7 linked regions of the Macaca mulatta genome follow. The protein of the gene in region 1 interacts with the protein of each later gene in a pairwise test. Links are inferred from orthologs where the notes say so. Each region holds a gene or a part of one and is shown in the gene's direction. Other genes may lie near its edges.

Evidence for each region.
Region 2: the proteins of C1H1orf94 (region 1) and RBM47 interact in binary tests that used the Homo sapiens proteins (3 or more experiments, as listed by UniProt). The two-hybrid records come from large-scale screens. The link is inferred for Macaca mulatta from reciprocal best matches to the Homo sapiens genes C1orf94 and RBM47.
Region 3: the proteins of C1H1orf94 (region 1) and CDKN2D interact in binary tests that used the Homo sapiens proteins (3 or more experiments, as listed by UniProt). The two-hybrid records come from large-scale screens. The link is inferred for Macaca mulatta from reciprocal best matches to the Homo sapiens genes C1orf94 and CDKN2D.
Region 4: the proteins of C1H1orf94 (region 1) and BOLL interact in binary tests that used the Homo sapiens proteins (3 or more experiments, as listed by UniProt). The two-hybrid records come from large-scale screens. The link is inferred for Macaca mulatta from reciprocal best matches to the Homo sapiens genes C1orf94 and BOLL.
Region 5: the proteins of C1H1orf94 (region 1) and MAPK1IP1L interact in binary tests that used the Homo sapiens proteins (3 or more experiments, as listed by UniProt). The two-hybrid records come from large-scale screens. The link is inferred for Macaca mulatta from reciprocal best matches to the Homo sapiens genes C1orf94 and MAPK1IP1L.
Region 6: the proteins of C1H1orf94 (region 1) and RAD51D interact in binary tests that used the Homo sapiens proteins (3 or more experiments, as listed by UniProt). The two-hybrid records come from large-scale screens. The link is inferred for Macaca mulatta from reciprocal best matches to the Homo sapiens genes C1orf94 and RAD51D.
Region 7: the proteins of C1H1orf94 (region 1) and TBX6 interact in binary tests that used the Homo sapiens proteins (3 or more experiments, as listed by UniProt). The link is inferred for Macaca mulatta from reciprocal best matches to the Homo sapiens genes C1orf94 and TBX6.

Annotation. Positions count from the first base shown.
Region 1 is NC_133406.1:206,643,400-206,646,899, reverse strand, and holds part of C1H1orf94 (uncharacterized protein C1orf94 homolog), read left to right. Parts: intron 1-2,557; coding exon 2,558-3,246; intron 3,247-3,500.
Region 2 is NC_133410.1:39,671,728-39,675,227, reverse strand, and holds part of RBM47 (RNA-binding protein 47), read left to right. Parts: intron 1-1,757; coding exon 1,758-1,969; intron 1,970-3,500. UniProt on the Homo sapiens protein: Single-stranded RNA-binding protein that functions in a variety of RNA processes, including alternative splicing, RNA stabilization, and RNA editing. Functions as an enzyme-substrate adapter for the cytidine deaminase APOBEC1.
Region 3 is NC_133424.1:11,288,104-11,292,092, reverse strand, and holds CDKN2D (cyclin-dependent kinase 4 inhibitor D), read left to right. Parts: upstream 1-1,189; 5' UTR 1,190-1,338; coding exon 1,339-1,479; intron 1,480-2,935; coding exon 2,936-3,295; 3' UTR 3,296-3,832; downstream 3,833-3,989. UniProt on the Homo sapiens protein: Interacts strongly with CDK4 and CDK6 and inhibits them.
Region 4 is NC_133417.1:102,698,872-102,702,371, reverse strand, and holds part of BOLL (protein boule-like), read left to right. Parts: intron 1-1,662; coding exon 1,663-1,806; intron 1,807-3,500. UniProt on the Homo sapiens protein: Probable RNA-binding protein, which may be required during spermatogenesis. May act by binding to the 3'-UTR of mRNAs and regulating their translation.
Region 5 is NC_133412.1:128,193,152-128,195,991, forward strand, and holds part of MAPK1IP1L (MAPK-interacting and spindle-stabilizing protein-like), read left to right. Parts: intron 1-913; coding exon 914-1,621; intron 1,622-2,840.
Region 6 is NC_133421.1:44,622,762-44,624,952, reverse strand, and holds part of RAD51D (DNA repair protein RAD51 homolog 4), read left to right. Parts: intron 1-126; coding exon 127-217; intron 218-346; coding exon 347-417; intron 418-2,191. UniProt on the Homo sapiens protein: Involved in the homologous recombination repair (HRR) pathway of double-stranded DNA breaks arising during DNA replication or induced by DNA-damaging agents. Bind to single-stranded DNA (ssDNA) and has DNA-dependent ATPase activity.
Region 7 is NC_133425.1:28,475,351-28,479,306, forward strand, and holds the end of TBX6 (T-box transcription factor TBX6), read left to right. Parts: intron 1-93; coding exon 94-240; intron 241-317; coding exon 318-388; intron 389-2,398; coding exon 2,399-2,472; intron 2,473-2,527; coding exon of another isoform or gene 2,528-2,563; coding exon 2,564-2,738; intron 2,739-2,812; coding exon 2,813-3,026; 3' UTR 3,027-3,456; downstream 3,457-3,956. UniProt on the Homo sapiens protein: T-box transcription factor that plays an essential role in the determination of the fate of axial stem cells: neural vs mesodermal. Acts in part by down-regulating, a specific enhancer (N1) of SOX2, to inhibit neural development.

The DNA of each region.
Region 1 (3,500 bases):
TTTGTTGTTGTTAGGTATAACCACAATACCATTATCACAATTTTAAAAAATTAACATAATTGTACTGTGTCTTTCTAATTCAGTGAAGCTATTGATGTGTGGCTTGCTTTGCAAAGTATTTGGAGAGGGGAGTCAAAAACTAGTCCTTCAAATGTCTGACTTCTGTGACTTGAGACACCTGTTCCTTTTGAGGCGGATGGTGAAGAGGAGGAAGAGGAGGGGGATCTAAAACTTGAGACCTCGGATTGGCAGCCCCTTTTTTCTGATTGTTCTCAGGGGGACACAGCCGGGGAAGTGAGGCCTATTTATAGGCCTAAGTCTAGACATGGGAAGGAGGCAGAGGAAGGGAATAGGTGACAAGTCAGGGAAAGGGGACAGAAGAGAGAGTGGAGGGAAAGAGAAAATAATAGAGAGTGACATTGCTGCACACACAGCTCCAGTGGCCCTCCAGGAGCTGGCCAGGACCAGCTCACACTAGCTAATGCTCACAGCCGACACTGACTGAATGTTTCCTGTGCACAGCACTGTGCTGAGCTCACATACGAGTGACCTCACTGAATGCCCCCAACCATCCCATGAGGCAGGTGATGTTAGGTGCCACACCCGTTTTACAGGGGAAGACACTGAGGTTCCAGGGTCTGACATGAAAAGAGCAGTGGTGCCTGGATTCAAACCCAGGTCTGTTTGTCTGGAGTCTACTTTTTGCAGGCATTACTCTCTGCCTCCAAGCCTGGTAAGGTTCCATGTGGGGGTAGAGAGGCTAATGTTCAAGAAGTACGACTATCTTGGCTGCTGGACTATTGGTACATTCCCATGTCTTTAGTACATAGCTCTTCCCCAAGCTCCCCAAGCACTGTGAACCGCCAAGTCTTTGCCTCAGGACTCATCAGGACCCAGCGACTAAAGGTTTCCTGTCTGGCACAGCAGGAAGCCTCTAAGACTGTAGACTGTGTCCACTCTGATTGACTGTTAAATGCAGTGACTACTCCCCTGGGTCTGTGTTTGGTGACATGTGAATTGTGTGCCTGCCTGTTTCTGTTTGTGTGTATGTGTGTGTGTGTGCTTGTACACAATGAGCATTACCAGGAAGGCATGGACCCTGCTGGAAGCATTCCATGGTCACCGTTTTGGAGACTCATCATGCCCTCTGAGAGGCTGGCCAGAGCTGGATCGTGTGCTGGGCCTCCAGACTGCAAAGCCTAAGCCACAGCAGCTGAGCTCCCCTATGGGGCTCCTCGATTTTTTCTCTTGGGTCTTCTTCATCATCTTCTCCTTCAGCGCTCCCATGATAGAAGGCCGAGCCGTTTCCAGAATACTTGGTGTGGGCCACATCATCCACCTCTCATAGGAGCCCCTTGAGTGAGGACAGCAGATGGTTCTAGGTTGGTGGCTCTTGACCTCCTGGGAGCACTAGGAAGGAAGGTGCCTGTGCGGGGCCTTCAGCCAGGCCAGTAGGATTGCAATCCTTTCTACACCTGGAGAGAAGTGGCAATGAGGAGCCTAGGATCCAGGAGACCATCAGGTGCTATCAGGGACCACCAGCCAGGCCAGTAGGATTGCAATCCTTTCTACACCTGGAGAGAAGTGGCAATGAGGAGCCTAGGATCCAGGAGACCATCAGGTGCTATCAGACAGGTGCTGACCAGCAAGGGTGTAGTGGAGGACCCAGGGTCCAAGGTGCAGGTTGAGGCCAATATTTAGTTTCAGGAAGACCCCAGTGAATCAGTGCAGGGATCTCCCAACTGCTGGTGCTGCCCATGAAGTGAGACCCAGTCCACAGGCTGTGATTGGGTCAGAGGCCATGCCAGAGTGAACATGAGTATCCAAGACACTACTGTATGAGATCCAGGAGCAGGGACCAACCAAGGTTGACAGTGGTGTAAACATGACAGCTGACCTTTGAATCGCCCTTACTCTATGCCAGACACCATTCAAAGTGCTTTGCACCTCTATGATACTCCTAGTAATGAGAGGAGGAGACAGAATACCAAGATGCTGAACAATCTCCCCAGGGTCATACCGATGGGAAGTGACTGGGTCAGGGTGTAAGCTCAGGCTATCCACTCCACCATTCTGCAGTGAGGTGATGGGGGCTGCGCTACGCTCCTGTGGGCTTCCCAGGGCTCAGCCCCAGCACCCTAGACTCTGCACTTAGAGCTGTTGGCTTGCTCCTGACACCTTGGCTGCTGGGTAAAATTTGCCAGTGAACCCCTTCTCTGGTCTTTCATTGCTTCAGGTCCTGAGCATGAAGAACAAGGAGGAATGGACTAGAATTAAGGCTCAGTGAGGCTGTGACTTGCCCCAGCTCACTCAGCAAGGTTGTTGGGAGAGGATCCAGGTTTCCCCATTTTTCAAAACCATGTTCTCAGTACTGCATCCCACCACTGTGGTATAGGACCCTCTAGGGGTCCACTGTGTGCGCTGGGTTCTCTTACCTGGAAGTGTGTTTTTGTCATGTTATGCATCCATCTCCGTTTTCTGGGGCCTATGTCCTTCTGCAGAGCCATGCCTTGGTGAGCTGGCACTAACACCGTCTGTCTCTCTGACCCATTTCCAGAGCTCTGGAGCTCAGCAGTGGCAAAGATGAGATCTCCTTGTTGGTGGAACAGGAGTTCCTGAGCCTCACTAAAGAGCACTCAATCTTGGTCGAAGAGAGTTCTGGGGAGCTGGAGGCACCAGGCAGCTCTCCTGAGGGGACCAGAGAGCTGGCTTCCTGCATTCTTACCCCTCCTCTAGCGGCAGGCAGTAATGAGCGCCCCAGAGCCTCCATGATTGTCGGAGACAAGCTTCTGAAGCAGAAGGTGGCCATGCCCATTATCAGCAGCAGGCAGGACTGTGATTCTGCCACGTCTACTGTCACAGACATTCTGCGTGCCGCCAAGGTCAAGAGCAGCAAGGGGACAGAGGACAGGGGCCACATCCTGGGTGACTCCAACTTGGAGGTCAGCAAGCTTCTGTCCCAGTTCCCACTGAAGTCCATTGAGACATCCAAGGCCCCCGACAACAAGAGGGTGCTGAACGAGACAAGAGTCACCAAGGACTTCCTACAGGACAACCTGTTCGGAGGCCCTGAAGCCAAGGAGCCCACAGGGCTGAGCCCATTTCTGCTGCTGCCTCCCCCACCTCCTCCTGCACCCCCTGACAAGCTCCCTGAGCTCCCTGCTCAGAAGAGGCAGCTCCCAGTGTTTGCCAAGATCTGTTCCAAGCCCGAGGCTGACCCTGCTGTGGAGAGGCACCACTTGATGGGTAAGTGGAGCTGGAACTGGGGTAGAGTGGGCCTGCAAGGAGGAGGTCCTTCCCAGGAAGCCAATCAGGGCTGCAGCATGTACATAAAGCATCTTTGTGCAAAAGCAGGACAAAGCAGCCTCTCTGGTGGGCACAGCCCCGAGGGAAAGGCTGTTTCCAACCTCCACAGGCTTCTTTTGCTGGGTGACCCTGTGCAGGGCACAGCTTTTGTAAGCAAACCCAGAGTCCCTGATCTCAACATACTTTGAGAAGAG
Region 2 (3,500 bases), on another chromosome or scaffold:
CACTGTGGGCAAAGTAAAACTGATCCTACAGCTCTGTAACTTCATAAAATAGAGCCTGGATATGGGAGTTGTCGCTTCTACTTGTTGGGAAGGGGACTCCTGTTGGCAAGTTAAGGCAGCTTAAGGTTTAACAAGAGAAAAGAACTGTTAAATAATCTTTAGTCATGTAAAGTTGTGTCCTGGAGGCTGAGGTAGAAATTCCTGTGGGCTGATAGCCAGAACAATTCATTTACTTCATACAACCCCTTGTAGCTTAAACTCACAACCCTCTCTGGGCCCCATCCATTGGCCTTGGTGTCTATTTCTGATCATCCAGAAAATGAGAACATTGTATTTTAGGAGAGGCACCAGGGTGGTGGTGAAGTATCTGGGCGCAAGACCAGTGGAAGATATGGTTGGAAAGGCAGGTAAAATATTTGATTCAGGTTTTAGGTGTATTTTATCAAATGGCCATACCATTGTTTAGCTTATAATCATTTGTCTCTTTACCTTTGATTGAGTCTATCCTTATTAGAATAAATGTACCTACAGTTGGAGAAAACCAGAAATAGAAAGATTCTTTGTGTACACATTTCATATTTTTGCTTATCCTTTCAACACACACAAACACACAAATACACCCCCCACCGCCCCCCGACACACACATATCAGGGCTAGTATCTTTTCCTTTTGATCTCTTCTTACTGTACCTTGACATTCAATAACTGCTATCTGTTTGAATCTCTCGTTGAAATCATAATTTTGGACTTTCAGAAATTCTTTGAATTGGGAGGTCCCACTAAAAGCCAATCACTCCACAGGTTCCCTTCTTTGAGTGGACATGAAGAAATTGGGGAATGTGCTATTTTTTTTTTTACCGTGTGTTTTTCCTTGAATCGGTAATGGTAAAATCTGAAATAAAGGGTGGGGAGGATGTACGGAGGTCTGAGTTCTCAGAATGAAACCCTCAACAGCACCTGTTTCTTAAATAGTGGTGAAAGTGAAAAAAAGGCAGTGGGACTGGTAATGAGTGAGGTGAGTAGGAAGGAACAGGCGGGCCCAACTCTCACAGGCGGTAGGCCTCAAGCCTCTGATCTCACTTCTTTGTCTAAGCCTGTTTTCCCATAGTCAGAGGCCCTTTCTTGCTCAGTAGGACATCAAGAATAAGATTCAAACTGATTTTTCTGTAGAAATAGAAAATATTGGTGCAGAAGCCTAACTCTAGGGGTCTCTTCCACGACAGGCAGGGGTAGTTACCTGCCACCGCCTATCCCTTCCTCTTGGGGAGCAGGCATCTGGGTACATGGCTTGTACTGAGAGAACAATAGTGAGCTTAGAGAGGCCCCTGACCTCTAAACGTGGTTTTAAAAAAATATCTTCGGCTGGGTGCGGTGGCTAACACCTGTAATCTCAGCACTTTGGGAGGCCAAGGCAGTTGGATTGCTTGAGCTCAGGAGTTCAAGACCAGCCTGGGCAATGTGGCGAAACCCTGTCTCTACAACAACAACAGAAAATAGCTGGGCAAGGTGGCCTGTGCCTGTAGTTCCAGCTACTCAGGAGGCTGAGGTGGGAGGATCGCTTGAGGCCAAGAGATTGAGGCTGCAGTGAGCCTTGATCGCACCACTGCATTTCAGCCTGGGCCACAGAGTGAGACCCTGTCTCAAAAGAAAGAAAAGTTTTTTTTTAAATAAAAATAAAAAATATCTTAGAGCAAGTGCTGGACCCCCCTCAGCAACTGAAAGTGATTGACCCATTTTTCCTTCTTGCTTCTCTTACAGTAGCCATCCCTGCCATTGGGGCCCAGTATTCCATGTTTCCAGCAGCTCCAGCCCCTAAAATGATTGAAGATGGCAAAATCCACACAGTGGAGCACATGATCAGCCCCATTGCTGTGCAGCCAGACCCAGCCAGTGCTGCTGCCGCCGCAGCTGCCGCAGCCGCAGCCGCAGCCGCCGTCATTCCCACCGTGTCGACGCCACCGCCTTTCCAGGTAGAGTTCTGATTGCAGTCGTTGTTATTTGCGTGTGAAGCCTCTCTTTATCCTGGATTCATTTAGTATTCAGCACTGAGAATTTACTGTGTGCCTGGCTCTCTGTTACAGCTATGCGATTGGGTGACACAAAGCATTTTGAATTTGAATCATGACAGAAAAAAATAATTGTAATTAATTGTACTACCCTAATAATATCATTGTTAAGGGTGGGAATCAATATGTAAAAATGATGTGTAATTTTTCACAGTGTCATAATATTGTGCATATATGTTTTTTAAATAGCACTGAATAATTTTTAGCTCATGATGTTAAAGAGCTGACGCACAAAGTCCAGGGAACGATTTCGCATTTTCACATTTCACACTGAGGCTCCATGAAGATTTCTTTAAAAAATGTTAACCCAGTGGGTGGGTGTATGTGTGTGTGTGTGTGTGCGCGCGCGTGTGTGTGTAAAGAGAGAGAGAGAGAAAGAACATCTGTATAGATATGTAAAATTTTATGCTGGGTAGAGTGGCTCATGCCTGTAATCCCAGCACATAGGGAGGTCAAGATAGGACGATCACTTGAGGCCAGGAGTTCAGGACCAGCTTGGGCAACATGGTGAGACAGTGTCTCTCCAAATATATATATTTTTTAAATTAGCCTGGCATGGTGGCATATGCCTGTAGTCCCAGCTACTGGAGAGGCTGAGGCAGGAGGACCGCTTGACCAGCCTTGAGGTCAAGGCTGTAGTGAGCTGTGATTGCACCGCTGCACTCCAACCTGGGCAACAGAATGAGACCCTGTCTCAAAAAAATTTTTACAAAATATGTCCATAATCCTCTCCTCCAACCATATCTCCCACTGTTCCCCTATCTGTTCCCAAACTCATCTTACCATGTTGGCCTCCTTCCCCACATTTGTTCATACTGTATCCTGGTTTCTTTATTCTCATCTCTTCCATAGAATCTTCCCCATCCACCTCCTAGAGAAATGTTCTCTCCTGTACTCCTCATTACTACATCATTACTTGGCCTGTGGCTGCCAATGTGTTCTATCTTCCAAGGAAAATGAAGCTCCTCTAAACCAAAGACTGTGTCTTGTTTCTTTGCATCTTCACCTCATAGGACATAGGGAGGACATCCATTTAACAGAAGAAAATCTTGTTAAAGCTGTTCTCTGTGAGGCAGTGAATCGCAAATACTAATCACAAGTACTCAGGCCCAAGATCCCTTACCCAGCTGAAAAAGAATTATCCAGGTCACTTCTTTTCATTTTTGATTTTTGATTTTTTTGAGACAGAGTCTCACTCTGTCACCCAGGCTGGAGTGCATGGCTCACTGCAACCTCAACCTCCCTGGTTAAAGCAATCCTCCCACCTCAGCCTCCCAAGAAGTTGGGACCACAGACGCACACCACCATGCCCGGCTAACTTTTTTATATGTAGGGACAAAGTCTTGCTATGTTGCCCAAACTGGTATTGAACTCCTGGGCTCAAGCAGTCCTCCCACCTCAACCTCCCAAAGTGTGGGATTACAGGCCTACATTT
Region 3 (3,989 bases), on another chromosome or scaffold:
CTCTACTAAAAATACAAATTAGCCAGTAGTCCCTGTAGTCCCAGCTACTCGGGAGGCTGAGGCGGGAGGATCACTTGAGCCGGGGAAGTCGAGGCTGCAGTGAGCTGTGATCGCACCACTGCATTCCGGCCTGGGTGACGGGAGTGAGACCCTGACTCAAAAATAAATACATAAATAAATAAAAATTAACTATCGTCTCTGGCCCCAGACCATAGGTGTCCCTGCAGCAGGGGCCTCCTGGCGTGCTCTCCACTCGGGAACCTCTAGGAGGTACTAAGTAAATCTTTGAGCGAAGACCTGAGTCCCTGTCTGGCTGCGACTATGTCCTCCCAGGCCTTCCCACGTGGCAGTTGCAGGCTCCTTTCCTCTTGGCTCAGTCTGAGCCAGTCAGGGTGATCCCTTCCTCATCCACCCCGTCTCCCCGTTTCCCTTTATTACGGTGCTTGACACTATCTAATATTATTTAGTTGCTTGAATGTGCGCGTCCAGCTCCCAGGACGCCCCCTGCACACAGTGAATGAATGAATGAATGAAATAAAGCGCCCAGCGCGTAGTAAGGGCCAATGAATATCTATTAGTAGTGGGACCTCGGATTGGGTGGCCCCAGCCCTGCCTCCCTTCCCCCAGGAGGCGCCGAGGTCCCAGAGCAGCCCGCGCTACCCTGCCCCTGACCTTTCTCCCTGGGTCAGTTAAAGCGGCCGTCTTTCCCGCCTGCCGGGTTCATTTGAAAACCGAAAACCCCGCCATTGCCGGCGGTCCATCGGTTGCTGAGCTCTGACCAATCAGGAACAACGCATTTCACGCCGAGCTCGAAATTTCCCCGGCGACGCGCAGCCATTGGTTATGCAGGCCCTGCGGGAGGAACGCCGTAAGGTCGCGCGCCGGGCAACGCGGATTCGCTACACAGTAGCGAGTTTGTAAGAAAACAAATCCGCGGCGTTCGGGGCGTGGCCGGGAGCACGTTGGCTCCGCCCCCTGGCTGCTGCCTCGGCGGCGGCGGCGGCGCAGGCTCAGAGCAGACCCCGCCCGGCAAGGAGGAGGGAGGGTGAGTTAGGGGGAGACCCGGCCCCCAAGGGGCGGGCGCCGGGCAGGGCCCCGCCGGCGGCCGAGGGTTGGGCCCAGCTCCCAGCCCCTCGCCTGCCTCCGGCTGACAGGGGGAGGAGCCCGCTGGGAGGGCCGGGGTCTTGGGCTGGGGAGCCGGGCCGGGAGTGCAGAGCAGCCGGGCGCACCGCGGCCGCGTCCCGGGAGGGCTGCTCGGGCCAGCGCCCGCCGGTTGCTCCGTGCTGACAGCGCCGGGTTGGGGCGGGGCGGGGGTCTTCGCAGGCCGTCAGTGTCGACATGCTGCTGGAGGAGGTCCGCTCCGGCGACCGGCTGAGTGGGGCCGCGGCCCGGGGCGACGTGCAGGAGGTGCGCCGCCTTCTGCACCGCGAGCTGGTGCATCCCGACGCCCTCAACCGCTTCGGCAAGACGGCGCTGCAGGTGAGGCCGGGCCGGCCCAGGTCGGGGGCGGGGTGGCTCGGCGGGGTGAGGATCGAGACCCCAGAGCCCCTCTCCTCTGGTCTCCTGGCCCTGGTGGTGACCCACTGGAAACCGGTCCTTCTTCTCTAGGCTTTCATTGTTCCCCCACGGTCCCCTTTCGAAGGTGGGTGGTGGGTGAGGCTAGGTTGTGGGGGGAGGGGAGAGCTTTTTAGCATCTTCTCTGGGAGGATTCCTGGTTCTCTGAGTGCGGAAGATTCACTTTCCCTGGGGAGGTTCTTATTCCGTGGGTGCGGGTTCAGCTCCTTTGGATACCGTTTCCATGGGGACGGCTCACGTTTCTTGGGGCTTCTATGGGGAGATCCGATCTCTGGAAGGAGAGGTCCTGTCTCCAGGGGTTCCTCATTTTGTAGGGGGCTCTCTGAGACATATCTGGTTACTTGGGGGTGGGGTCTTCATTCCTAAAGATTATGCGGATCCTAGCTATAGTGTGGGGGCCCCAGTGGAGGAACAGTGTCAGATCGCAAGACATCCTTATATTCCCTGGGAGAGTTTAGAGAGGAGTCTCTTTTCTCTTCTTTTATTATTGCTTTTGGAATCCCGCTTCCTGAAGGGAGCTCTCAGGTACTCTGAGGTGACATCACCATTATACAGGAGGAGGCTAATTCCTGGAGAAGGGGGTGGGGTTCGCTTTCCTTTGACATCTCTTTTCCCTTATGAGGACTATCAATTCTTTGGGGGTAGTTCTCCATCTCTGGGGGCCCATTTCCTGGAGGGGATTTTATATTTCCTGGTGATTGCCCATATCTGGGGGCGTCTTTGGTCCCTTGCGGGAGAGTCTTAGGTTCCTTGAAAGTTTCCATGGGGGCTGTTCTCTGGGTTGGGGGGTCTCATTCTTAAGGGAGTGACCAGCTTTTGGGGGGGGTCCCTATTCCCAGGAGAACTTTTTCTCTGCATCTCAAACAGTCCCCTGGGGGCTTATGCAGCTTCTCCGTTCACTAGAGGATCCCTCCTCTGGCATTTCCTGTTCCGGGGAGATGCCTCTTTCTGGATGACCCTTCTCTCTCCAGTAACCCCTTTTTTTTTAATTAATTAATTAATTTATTTATTTTTTTTGAGACAGAGTCTCGCTTAGTCGCCCAGGCTGGAGTGCAATGGCGCGATCTCGGCTCACTGCAAACTCCGCCTCCCGGGTTCACGCCATTCTCCTGCCTCAGCCTCCCGAGTAGCTGGGACTACAGGCGCCCGCCGCCTCGCCCGGCTAATTTTTTGCATTTTTAGTAGAGACGGGGTTTCACCGTGTTAGCCAGGATGGTCTCGATCTCCTGACCTCGTGATCCGCCCGCCTCGGCCTCCCAAAGTGCTGGGATTACAGGCGTGAGCCACCGCGCCCGGCCAGTAACCCCTTTTTTGGAAACCCCTCCCTTGAGGACCTCCTGATCCTCTGTCCCTCACACAGGTCATGATGTTTGGCAGCACCGCCATCGCCCTGGAGTTGCTGAAGCAAGGTGCCAGCCCCAATGTCCAGGACACCTCCGGCACCAGTCCAGTCCATGACGCAGCCCGCACTGGATTCCTGGACACCCTGAAGGTCCTAGTGGAGCACGGGGCTGATGTCAACGCGCCTGATGGCACCGGGGCACTTCCTATCCATCTGGCGGTGCAAGAGGGTCACACTGCTGTGGTCAGCTTTCTGGCGGCTGAATCTGATCTCCATCGCAGGGACGCCAGGGGTCTCACACCCCTGGAACTGGCACTGCAGAGAGGGGCTCAGGACCTCGTGGACATCCTGCAGGGGCACATGGTGGCCCCGCTGTGATCTGGGGTCACTCTATCCAGGAAGAGAACCCCGTGGGGTTATGTATCAGAAGAGAGGGGAAGAAACACTTTCTCTTCTTGTTTCTCCTGCCTGCTGCCGCAGTAGGGGAGGAGCACCAGTTTGTGGCTTATAGGTGTTGGTTTTTGGGGTGTGTGGGTATTTGGGGGACGTTTCTCATTTGTTTTTCTCACTCCTTTTGGTGTGTTGGACAGAGAAGGGCTCCTGCAGGCCACAGCCACCTAAACGGTTCAGTTTTTTCTGCGCCCCAGGCTGTTGGGGCCTCAGACAAGACCCAAGGGCAGAGCGTTTAAGAGTGAAATCACCTCCAGGGAGCGTAGAACCTGGTGACCTTGGCTGGCTGTGCTCAGAGACCTGAAGTGTGCACGTTGCTTCGGGCACAGGGGGTGGGGGGAGAGTCCCAAATCAGTAAGAAGGTAGAATGAGTTATTCATATTCTGTTGGAAGCTTGTTTTCCAGTCTCTTGTACAGCGTTTTAAAAGAAATGGATTCTATTTATTATGCTTTATTGGAAAAAAATGTTGTAATAATTTAATGTTTTTACCCATTAAATTAAGACTTGTGCATGATCACAGCGCGGGTGGCTTCAGATTTTTGAGTCTGGGATGGAGAGTTACACATCCCGGATGTTGATGGGGATGAGGACGGGGGTCGGGGATCGTGGATGCGGTGGGTG
Region 4 (3,500 bases), on another chromosome or scaffold:
AGTATGTACTTCCTTAAGGCTGGATGGAGAAGAGAGCCCATAAGGTCCAGCCTATAGCCCAATTGCCACTCCTGCCCTAGTCATTTCTCTGTACATCTTGCAAAGATTAATTGAGGGATTGTGATTGTATTGACCAGAGAAGAAAGAACACAAATTTGAAAAAGAACAACTCTATTACCTGAACTGGAAATTCATTTTCATGTGTTTGTTTCTCAGAGAATTTGAATTATGAACTTCAAGATTTGTTATTTTCTTTTTCTTTCTTTTTGAGACGGGGTCTCGCTTTGTTGCCCAGGCTGGGGTTGAACTCCTGACCTCAAGCAATCCTCCTGCCTCAGCCTCCCAAGCAACTGGGATTACAGGCACAAGCCACAACACCCAGTTTACTTCAAGTTTTTTGAAGCACACATTTAGGATATTAGACTGTCTCAGAAGTGTGTTTAGTGTTTCCAGATGGAAAATAATTCACCAGTTCTTGAATTGGTTTCTCTTCTACATGATTCTCAAGTCCTGGTTTTCTTTCAGTTATACCTTAAAAGTCTATTATTTTACCATTCTGCAAAGGCTTATACATTTATATATGTTTATTAAAATTTAAATTAGATCCTCTAACTTATCGTTGTGAACATATGGCTATGTACTGAGCTAATTCTTTGGAATAAACATTTATGAGCTATAAGTATATAATTTTTAACAAAATCAGTCCAATCTTCAAAATGACAAGTGCATTTAAAATTTTGACCTTCAGGCTGAAAATGGTGAATGTGAATGTTACAGTTTATTAACTTATCAATGACCATTAGTTAAAGACCACCAGGAACACAAGCGTCATTTAGTGAAGTTGGGTCTGTTAATCGTTCAAACAAAGGAAAACAGAAACCATGGGGCCTCTCAATCAGAAGGTGTTAGAACTCATAGGATATAGGCTTGTGTTGAGCAATTTTTAGAGAGGGTTTAAGGAAGCAGGGCTTTACTCTGGAATGTATATCGTCAGGAAATGGTAGTAATTCTATGATTGGATGTGTTAACTTTTATCTAAAAGGAAAGAAAAATGGATCGAGGCCAAAACTATAACTAATAAAGAAGGGGCAGTCACTCATATCAGCCAGAATGGAGGGATGTTTGGTTATTATTGGATTTGGGCAATGCGTTTTTTTTAGTCAGCCTTCAAACATGATTGTGGAGTGGTCTTGTTTTTAATCTTAATCCATCAGAGTCACAGGGTGACTTTGTCTGATGTTGGTATTCTGTTAATGAGAGAACACCACAGCCTAGCCGTGAGTGCCAGGCCGACTCCTAACAACACCAGGGCCCAGCTGATTGTGTCAGGCTGGGACTGTTTTTCTCTTTCTCAAACATCTTCATGAGTTTAATATTCCCCTTAACAATTAAGTAATCGGTTTGATAATAATATAAGCATTTTAAGTAATGTACTTAATATTTAAAATCTCTATAATGGAGTAGATTCTGTGTTTCCTAGTTCTGTTGCTCTAAAAAGCTCTTAGCTCTAATTATAATTTTTATAATATTAAAAGTAAAGCCTAGAATACTATATTTTACCTAAATGACTCATCTTTTTTAAAGATATACATTTTCAGTCTGCATCAAAAGCAGACTGCATTATACCCAGTGCAAAAAGTGTAAAAGAATTTTATTTTACAGCAAACATCAAACCAGATGCAAACAGATTCATTATCTCCATCCCCTAATCCTGTGTCGCCTGTGCCTTTGAATAACCCAACAAGTGCCCCAAGATATGGAACAGTGATCCCTAATCGCATCTTTGTAGGAGGAATTGACTTTAAGGTACCTATTTATGCATGCAGTAAAGTGTATTTTTTCATTAGAAGTCTTTATTTCTCAGAAATTGTTTATTTGTGCAGCTATAAAATCATAACATATTTGCATAATGATTAATAGATTTCAAATTTCCTTCTTATAAAGAATCTTTCGAACCAACATGTAGGTTACATAAAGTATAAAAACTGTTTGTTCAATGTCAAATACAAGGAAATTGAGCCTCATTGACTTGCTGTAGGCTCCTAGCCAGCCACATAGTGACAGAGTGAGACTAGAAGCCTCGTTTTCTGTCTCATAGCTCCACACTCTTCCATACCAGAACTAATTATACTTTCTTGCCTATACTCCAATAGCCAAAATAATGAATGATTATAATTTTCAAAAGAGACTCAATTCTTTAAAAACTTAGTTTTATGAAATACTATTTCTTTATCCCAACTCTTATCTCAGATTCCTGAGCAACCTCCTAGGCGTCTATTCTTTGCAAAGCACTTTCTATGTTAGAGTTTAGGATTTGATTACCAGAAAACTCCTGTGTCCTTGTCAAAATAAAGCATCTTAAAAATAATATATTTAAGCAGAAAAAAATAACTACTCAGTACTAGACTTAGTACCTGGGTGCCTAAATAATCTGTACAACAAACCCCCATGACGATTTATCTTTATAACAAATCTGCACGTGTACCCCGAACCTAAAATAAAAGTTTTTTAAAAAGTAATATATTTACATCATGTAATCAGCTATTCCACTCTTCCAAGGAAGCATAGTTCATGAGATGATGTGCAGTGCCCCCCACCCCGCATGAGTAAACACCTACAAGAAAGGCATGCATAGATACTGTAAGTGGAATACTCTTACTTTCAAATGGATATATGGAAGGATTTCCAAGACTCTATTTTACATATTAGAAATTATAGGGAGAGTTATTTTGGACAAAAAAAAACTTTCCTTATACCATTAGGTGTGATATTTGACATTTATAACTCACTATTTCCATATAATCAATCTGTTACAATTTGGGTGGAATTTCTTTTTTCCTGCACAAGAGAAATGTTACACTTAGTGTATTTGCCAAAACAATGAGTCTTAAACAAGTATATGATTGTTTCACTAAAAATAAAGTAAGAAAAATTATTTCTTATAAAATATTTATTTTTAAAAAGGTTTTCTGTATCTGTGGAAAATACTGATGGCTGGCAAAAATGTTCAATTTGGGAATTCATTTATATTACAATAGCTTAGCATGTTTTTAAAAATAAGTTATCAATAAATATAAATATGTGTATGGCCAAGTTATTTTAGGTTACTGAAGCCCATTAGCTGCAGCATGAACTTTGGAAACGGTTGTTATAAGGCAGCCATAGCTTTACGGTAACTGCTAGGGCTCCCTCCTGTATGCTTATACCTTTTTCAAAACCACAGATAAAGTCCAGCAAGGAAATAATTTACTGTAATAGCAAGTAGTCACAGACTTTTTAACCTTTCATTTTTAGAAGCGAACAGACTATCTCTCTTAATGCTTACTTTTCTTGACTGTCCCTTTGTCACTGAAGAAGTGGAGCTACAAAATTCAGCTATGATTATTCTACCAGAGAATAGTTGGAATTAATTTGTATTCAAATATCTAGTAACAATTCTTATTCTAGCATTGATTTCATTTCCTGTTAACTGAAATAAAAGGCATTCAGTTTTTCTTAGA
Region 5 (2,840 bases), on another chromosome or scaffold:
AGTTTATCTGTGATAAGTTTTTCATCTCTTAAGAAAAACAACGTGGTCCTAACTGGCCTTCGTAAATCTTTTCACTTAAAAGAGATGCTTTAACCAGGCGCGATGGTGTGCACCTGTAGTCCTAGCTCCTTGGGAGGATCCCTTGACCCCACGATTTCCAGGCTGCAGTGAGCCATGATCGTGCCATTGCACTACTGCCTGGGCGATAGAGTGAGACTCTGTTTATAAATAAATAAAAGAGATGCTTTTTGTGATTCTTGGCTTTGGGGGTAGGAGAGGGATTTTGATAGGTGATTTGCCTTGGTGATTTGCCAAACATGGAGATAATAGCATGTTTGGAAATGTTTCCTATATTTCTTTATGAATCCTTAAATGAAAATTTAAGATGTTACTTCTATTCTCTTTTACCCTGATAGTATTAGTAGCCAACATTTATTGGAAATTATTATATACCAGGCACTGTGTTAAGTGTACTACATGAACTATCATATTTAAGCCTCAAATTAACCCTAAAATAGTTTTTGAAACTGAAGAAGCTCTATCTCAGAGTATGTAGCTCCTTTGAGGTTAAGCCAGGATTCAAATCCATACCTTGACTGTTAGTTCTATCTTCTTAATTACTGTACTTTGTTATATTAATACAGCAGAGAAATGAAGCACAATATGATTAGTTGTATTTAGAAAACGAGCTTCTCTGAAGAACTTGCACTGTAAAGTTGATATTCAAAGTTAACACCTCAAGTTTTATGTTAAATCGAGTACGTTTTAAATGACTAGCTTAGCTTTTGAAGATGTTCTTGAGGTTTATAATCCCTGGCCCTGTAGGTTACTGTTCTTTGTGGGTTTATAATGGTGTTTGGTATAACTTTTCTCTTGATAAGATAGATAAGATGTTATCTGTTTTGTGTTCCAGTTGGCAGATGCACTACCTGAACACTCCCCTGCCAAAACCTCTGCTGTGAGCAATACAAAACCTGGCCAACCTCCTCAAGGCTGGCCAGGCTCCAGCCCTTGGAATAATCCGAGTGCTCCACCTTCGGTGCCATCTGGACTCCCACCAAGTGCAACGCCCTCCACTGTGCCTTTTGGACCAGCACCAACAGGAATGTATCCCTCCGTGCCTCCCACCGGACCACCTCCAGGACCCCCAGCACCCTTTCCTCCTTCTGGACCATCATGCCCCCCACCCGGTGGTCCTTACCCAGCCCCAACAGTGCCAGGCCCTGGCCCCACAGGGCCATATCCTACACCAAATATGCCCTTTCCAGAGCTACCCAGACCATATGGTGCACCCACAGATCCAGCTGCAGCTGGTCCTTTAGGTCCATGGGGATCCATGTCTTCTGGACCTTGGGCACCAGGAATGGGAGGGCAGTATCCTACCCCTAATATGCCATATCCATCTCCAGGGCCATATCCCGCTCCTCCTCCTCCCCAAGCCCCTGGGGCAGCACCACCTGTTCCATGGGGCACCGTTCCACCAGGAGCCTGGGGACCACCAGCACCATATCCTGCCCCTACAGGATCGTATCCCACACCAGGACTCTATCCTACTCCCAGTAATCCTTTCCAAGTGCCTTCAGGACCTTCTGGTGCTCCACCGATGCCTGGTGGCCCCCATGTGAGTGTTCAATTTGTTATTTAAAGTGTACTAATTGTACATAGCACAACTGAAAGATTGTTTCTCCCCAGTTTTGGATGGAAGATTAAGAAGGCTTTTAAGTTTTTAAAAGAGGGTGTGTGTATATTAAATGAGTAAATTTCAAACCTTCAGGTAAAGCATTTAAAAGGATGAAAGCAGTATTTTAAGTATCCCTTGTGCTAAAAAGAAAAATTTTCCAAAGATCCCCAAAGACTTTGTAATGTAGTAAGCAGTGTCCCTCAATAGCATCCTTTAGTTAAACTCTGAGATTCACTGGGCTTTTTGTTTTATTATTATTATTTCTCAGTATCGTTTCATAGCATCACACCAAAGTATAGTTCAGTAAAAGCAGTCTCTACCTGTCTAGCTTGATAGAGGTAGATTTTTAGAGAATCCAAGCCAGTGAGTAGGTAATGTTGCCCATCTTTCAAGCAATTCTCGAGCTCGGGATTGTACCCCTATTCTTTATTGTCAGTTACATGTAATGCTTTATGCTTTACTGTCAGACAAGCCAGAGTGGGGTTAACATCTTAGTTGAGGAGCCTGCCTTGGTCATATAACCGAATGGAAAAGTACCCCATTTCCCCTGTGAGGTAAGCCAAGCGAGTATCCAAACGCAGAAGATTTTCCTTAGGAAAAAAAAGTCTGTTAACTGGTTTGGTTTTTTTGTTTGTTTTTTTTTTTTTTTTGAGACAGTCTTGCTCTGTCATCCAGGCAGCAGTGCAGTGGTGCGGTCTCTTGGTTCACTGCAATATCTACCTCCCAGGTTCAAGCAGTTCTCTTGAGTAGCTGGGATTACAGGCGTGCGCCACCACACTGGCTCATTTTTTAATTTTTAGTAGAGATGGAGTTTCACCATGTTGGCCAGGCTGGTCTTGAACTCCTGACCTCAAGTGATCCGCCCGCTTCAGCCTCCCAAAGTGCTGGGATTACTGAGCCCACCGTGCACGACCAGAAAAAAAAAATCTGTTAACTCTTAATACACAAATAACTAGTCAGATCTCTGATTAGATTAGTCAAACATCCACTCCAGCTATAAAGGAAAAGAAATCTTTAAAGTACCCCCAAAACTTCCTCCTTGCATTAGTGTAATTTCTTGCTATATATATTATCTAAAAATATTTGTTTTGCAAAGTGTACGCCAGAGTAAGTGATGTGACTTGCTGTTTGGATTTATTAAGCAATAAATTTACTTTAA
Region 6 (2,191 bases), on another chromosome or scaffold:
TGCAGCCTGCTGTATTTGGGATGAGGGGGGCTATTTCTTACTAGTTTTAGATAGAAAAGCAAGCTTGTCCTGTAATGTGTCCTAGAGGCCAACAGGTTCATGAGTGCTTCCCCCACATTCCTTTAGGTGACTGGTTCTTCAGGGACTATGAAGGTGGTGGTGGTGGACTCGGTCACTGCGGTGGTCTCCCCACTTCTGGGAGGTCAGCAGAGGGAAGGTGAGTGATGTGGCAGAGCCTGGGGCCAGTGGAACGTGACCTCGCCTCCCAGCTCTGGAGTCTGGTCTCTGGCCAGTCCCGTCCCTGGTTTTCCACTGCCCTGCCTCTCTGCTTCTCCTCGTCCTGCAGGCTTGGCCTTGATGATGCAGCTGGCCCGAGAGCTGAAGACCCTGGCCCGGGACCTTGGCATGGCAGTGGTGGTGAGGAAGCAGACTTGGCCAATGAACTTGATTTCTAGTTATTGCTAGCTCTTTATTTCCCTTAAATGTCAGCTTCTGAACCCCAAAGTGGCCCTTTAGGAAAGGGACATATTCCAGCTTCCCTGGGTCAGCTACAGCTTTGCACCATAAATAGCTACGGGAATCAGGAATTGTCTTGTTGTTTTTTTGTTGTTTTGTTTTGTTTTGTTTTCCTACATTTTTTCTTTTTAGAAAGGTTTATTGAGGTATAATTTACATAGAGTACCTTTCTCCTTGTCTGAAGTTTGACTAATGGATATAGTTGTATCCAGTCTTGTGACCCCACCAAAAGGTCCCCCAGGCCCAGGCAACCACTGATCTGTTTTCCATCCCAATAGTTTGGCCTTTTCCAGAACTTCATATAAATGGATCTTTTTGCTATTGAAGTAACTTTTTCTGCTTATGAGGTAGTTTTTTTAAAGTCTGCATGCTTCTCATAGAAAAGATAAAAAATAAATATAAGATTCAAATTTGTCATCAATCTCCATATCCACAGAAACCATATTGATATTTTTACATATCTCCATACAATACTTTTTCTACATATTTACTTATACTTTTAGTCAACTTTCTTTTTTTTTTTTTTTTTTTTGAGATAGGGTTTTATTCTGTTGCCCAAGCTGGAGTGCGGGGGCACAATCACAGCTCGCTGCAGCTCGACCTCCCGGGCTCAAGCAATCCACCCGCCTCAGCCTCCCAAAGTGCTGGTATTACACGTGTGAGCCCACTCTTAACCAGCTTTCTAACTAAACTAACCTCATGAGAAAAAAAAAAAATGGGCCAGGTGCAGTGGTTTATGCCTGTAATCCCAGCACTTTAAGAAGCCAAGGCTGGTGGATCACTTGAGCCCAGGAGTTCGAGACTAGCCTGGGCAACATGGAAAAACCCCACCTCTACAAAAAATAGAAAAACTAGGTGGCCTCGGTGGCAGGAAAATTGCTTGAGCCTGGGAGGTCGAGGCTGCAGTGAGCTGTGATAATGCCACTGCACTCCAGCCTGGGCAACAGAGCAAAACCTCATCTCAAAAACAAACCAAAACAACAACACAAAAAATACCATCTGAGTCCATTTCCTATGTTTTAAAATATATTTTTTACAAATGTAATTTTTAGCAGCTATATATTTTTTTCCAACTTCTCTTATTGTGGTAAAATACATATAACATAAAATTTACTACCTTAACTATTTTAAGGTATACAGTTCGGTGGTGTTAAATACATTCATGACGTTATACAACCATCGCTACCATCCATCTCTATAACTCTTCACCTTATAAAACTGAAACTCTGTACCCATTAAAAATAACTCATTTCTCCCTTTCCCAGCCCCTGACAACCACCAGTCTACTTTCTGTATCTATGCTTTTTGACTACTCTAGGAACCTCATATACATGGAATCATATGGTATTTACTTTTTGTGACTGGCGTATTTCACTTAGCATAATATCCTGAAGGTTCATCCACTTGGTAGCATGTGTCAGAATTTCCTTCCTTTTAAAGACTGAGTGGCCGGGCGTGGTGGCCCACGCTTGTAATCCTAGCACTTTGGGAGGCTGAGGCTGGTGGACTGCATGAGCTCAAGAGTTTGAGACCAGCCTGGACAACATGGCGACATGTGCCCCATTGCCTTCTGGTTTGGGTCGAACCTGAGGCATCGAGATTTAGTGGAAAGAGCAGGGCACAAGTCAGGAGGCCCAGGTTCTAGTTCCAGACCTGCCATTAGGCTTTGTAACTT
Region 7 (3,956 bases), on another chromosome or scaffold:
GGCTGGGACTCTAGGATAGGGTTGGGGGGTGCTAGAAGGGAGGCCAAGGCTGGGGCACAGGGCAGGGAATCACTCCCATTTCCTCCCTCCCAGCTGATCCTGCACTCCATGCACAAGTACCAACCCCGCATACACCTAGTTCGGGCAGCTCAGCTCTGCAGCCAGCACTGGGGGGGCATGGCTTCCTTTCGCTTTCCGGAGACCACATTCATCTCCGTGACGGCCTACCAGAACCCACGGGTGAGTGCCCCTGCTTGAGGGGGTGGTGGCGCCCTGCCCAGTCCACAGTTGCTTTGACCCTGGATGTGTGTCCCCAGATCACACAACTGAAGATTGCAGCCAATCCCTTTGCCAAAGGCTTCCGGGAGAACGGCAGAAACTGTAAGAGGTGGGAGTTGTTCATTCATTCGTTCATGCATTCAACAAATGTTTATTAATCACTCACTGTGTGCCAGGCACCGTGCTGGACATCAGGAATACAGTGGTAAGTAAAAACATTCATTCACTGACTCAGCAAATACTTATATAGTACCTGCTATGTGCCAGGGACAGTTCCAGGCACTGGAGATAAATCAAACAAAGTAAACCAAAGCCCCAGCCCTGATGGAACTGATTTCTAGTGGGGACAGCAGACAAGCAGACAAGAGAAATAAATAAAATGCCATCTGTTAGGAAGCCATTCTAAAGAGAAGAGAGACCAGGTGCGGTGGCTTGCTTCTGTAATCCCAGCACTCTGGGAGGCTGAGGCGGGCAGATCACCTGAGGTCAGAAGTTTGAGACCAGCCTGCCAACACAGTGAAACCCTGTTTCTACTAAAAATACAAAAATTAGCCAAGCATGGTGGCACGCGCCTGTAATCCCAACTACTCGGGAGGCTGAGGCAGGAGAATCTCCTGAACCCAGGAGGTGGAGGTTGCAGTGAGTCGAGATCGTGCCATTGCATTCCAGCCTAGGCAACAAGAGTAAAACTTCGTATCAAAAAAGAAAGAAAGAAAGAAAACTCTGTCACAAAAAAAAAAAAAAGGAAAAAAGGAGAAGAGAAATAAACAGGAAAGGATAGGAAGGACTGGGGTGAGCTATTAGATAAGAGGCCTGAAAAGGCCTCGGCAGGAAGAAGACACTTGAGAAAGAGCTGAAGGAAGTATGGGAGGGAGCCGGGTGGGCATCTGGCAAAGCACACTAGGGAGTGGGAACAGCACGTGCAAAGGCCCTGAGGTGGGGCTGTGCCTGTGGCGTGGCTGCAGTGGAGTGAGTAGGAGTCAGGCAGGGGAGGGGAAGCCAGGTTATCTTGGACAGTAAAGGTTCCATAAGGCCGTGGGAACTGTTCCAAGTGTAGCCCCTCGGAGCTGGCCCCTGCCCTCAAGGAGCTTCCAGTTTGTCAGAAGAGACAGACATGAACCAAGGAGTCACTCCATCAAATGCAAAAGCATTTGCATTTAACTGTCTCATAACTGTGACAGATGTTATGAGGGAGGGGTGTGTGCTCTCGGAGATCAGGGAGGACTTCCTTGAGGAACTTGCGCTAGCACTAAGGCAAGGATAGGTTTGGTGGCTCATGCCTGTAGTCACAGCACTTTAGGAGGCTGAGATGGAAAGATCACTTGAGCCCAGGAGTCGGAGGATGCAGTGAGCTGTGACCATGTCACTGCACTCCAGACTGCACTCCAGCCTGGGCAACATAGCAAGACTGCATCTCAAATTTTAAAAATGAAAAGAAAAAGGGGCCGGGCGAGGTGGCTCAAGCCTGTAATCCCAGCACTTTGGGAGGCCGAGACGGGCGGATCACGAGGTCAGGAGATCGAGACCATCCTGGCTAACACAGTGAAACCCCGTCTCTACTAAAAATACAAAAACTTAGCCGGGCGAGGTGGCAGGCGCCTGTAGTCCCAGCTACTCGGGAGGCTGAGGCAGGAGAATGGCGTGAACCCGGGAGGCGGAGCTTGCAGTGAGCTGAGATCCAGCCACTGCACTCCAGCCTGGGTGACAGAGCGAGACTCCGTCTCAAAAAAAAAAAAAAAAAAGAAAAGAAAAAGGATGGGTTCAGCAGGTGAAGAGGGGACAGAAGAGGATTCCAGAGAGAGGCTCAGAGTGGAGATGGGGCAGAAGGATGAGCTAGGTGAGACCGTGCCCTGGCCTTGCCTCTGGGAAGGAGTTTCCATTGATACTAAACACAATAGTAAAGCATGGACAAGCTTGAGCAGGGACAAAATTCCAGCTCTGCCACTTTCTAGTTATTTAATTTTCTGGCCTTCAGTTTCATCTGTAAAATGGGTATAATGATGGCCCCTACCCGACAGGGTCCCTGGGAGGGTGAAATGCCTGGCACTGGGTAAGTACTGTTATTACCATCACCATGGCCATCACCGTCATCATCATCACCACCACCACTGTTTCCCAGGGAGCGAGATGCCCGTGTGAAGAGGAAACTGCGGGGCCCAGAGCCAGCAGCCACAGAGGCCTATGGGAGCGGAGGTGAGTATAGTCCCAATGGCGATGGGGCCAGGCCTGAGACACGGATCCTCCCTAGCCCAACCTCTCCCTTCCCTCTCCCCGGACGCACCAGGTGGTCCCTGCGACTCCACTCTGGGTGGAGACATTCATGAATCAGACCCAGAACAGGCCTCAGCCCCCGGGGAAGTCACCACTGCCCTGGCACCTCCGTGTGGTGGCCCCAGTGCCGAGGCTTACCTCATGCATCCTGCGGCTTTCCACGGGGCCCCCAGTCACCTTCCCACCAGGTGAGTGGGACAGGGGACCAGGCGGGGCTGCGGGACCCTCGGCACTGCTCTGACATCCTTCTCTCCCATGTCAGGAGCCCCAGCTTCCCGGAGGCTCCAGACTCTGGGCGCTCAGGCCCCTACTCGGCTGCATTTCTGGAGCTGCCACCCGGGCCAGGGGGCTCCGGGTACCCAGCGGCTCCACCCGCGGCACCCTTTGCCCCGCACTTTCTCCAAGGGGGCCCCTTCCCTTTACCATACCCCGGGCCTGGGGGCTATCTGGATGTGGGCTCCAAACCCATGTACTGAGCCATTGCTGGGCCCCTCTGCCTCCATCACAAACCTCCTGCTCCCTTCCCCCAGCCCTGGAGCCCCCTCACCTCCACCAGCCCCATCCCCCACACCAAATGGCTGCCTTGGGCCTGCCCACCCCCCCCCACAACTTCACACCTTGATTTCACTCCCACCCCGCTCTGGCTTCAAAGCCCAACCAAGGCTGCTGGGAGTCCAGCTGGGGCCGGCTTCCCCTTCCCGGCTCTCACCTCCGTGTGAATGGAAGGGGCTCTGCCTGGCCAAATGGGGCTACAGACCAGTATCCCCACCTACCGGGTCCCCCTGTGAGCCCTTGGGGGGGCTCAATCCCCACCCCCACACCACTAGTGCAGGCCACACCAGTCTGTTGTTCTGGGACCAGAGTATTTTTGTTAATAAAACTCAAAAGCCATCCATGCTCAGGAAACACTGAAGCTCCTGTGTTTGGCCCTGGGCGGGGCTGGGTGAGCAAAGGCTTTGCTGGGAGACCCAGACCCAGATCTAAACCTGTGTTTCCAGCTGCCTGACCTAGCACGAAATCTACCAGCTCTCTAGGCCCATCTCTTCAGGAAAGTGGAGAAATCAGAATCTCGTGATGCTGTTAATAAGGCTGCATGAGAACAGAGCCCTCTCCCTAGCACTGGGGAAGCCAGCGGGCAGCGGCCCCTGGAGGCCCTGGGCAAGCTGACTGGCCTGAGCCTGGCCATCCTGGCAGGTCGGGGCCCTGAAGCAGTCAAGGCCCTGAGGTCCACCCCAGGTCCCAGGCCAGCAACCCTATGCATTCCCAACCAAGTCTGGCAAAAACCCAAAGACCATTTTTCTTCTTTTATTAGAATTTTTTTTTTCTTTTTTTTTCTCAAAATTTTTATCTAAAAACAAACAGAAAAAAGAAGGAAAAAAAGAAAAAAAAATTATTGGAAACTTCAT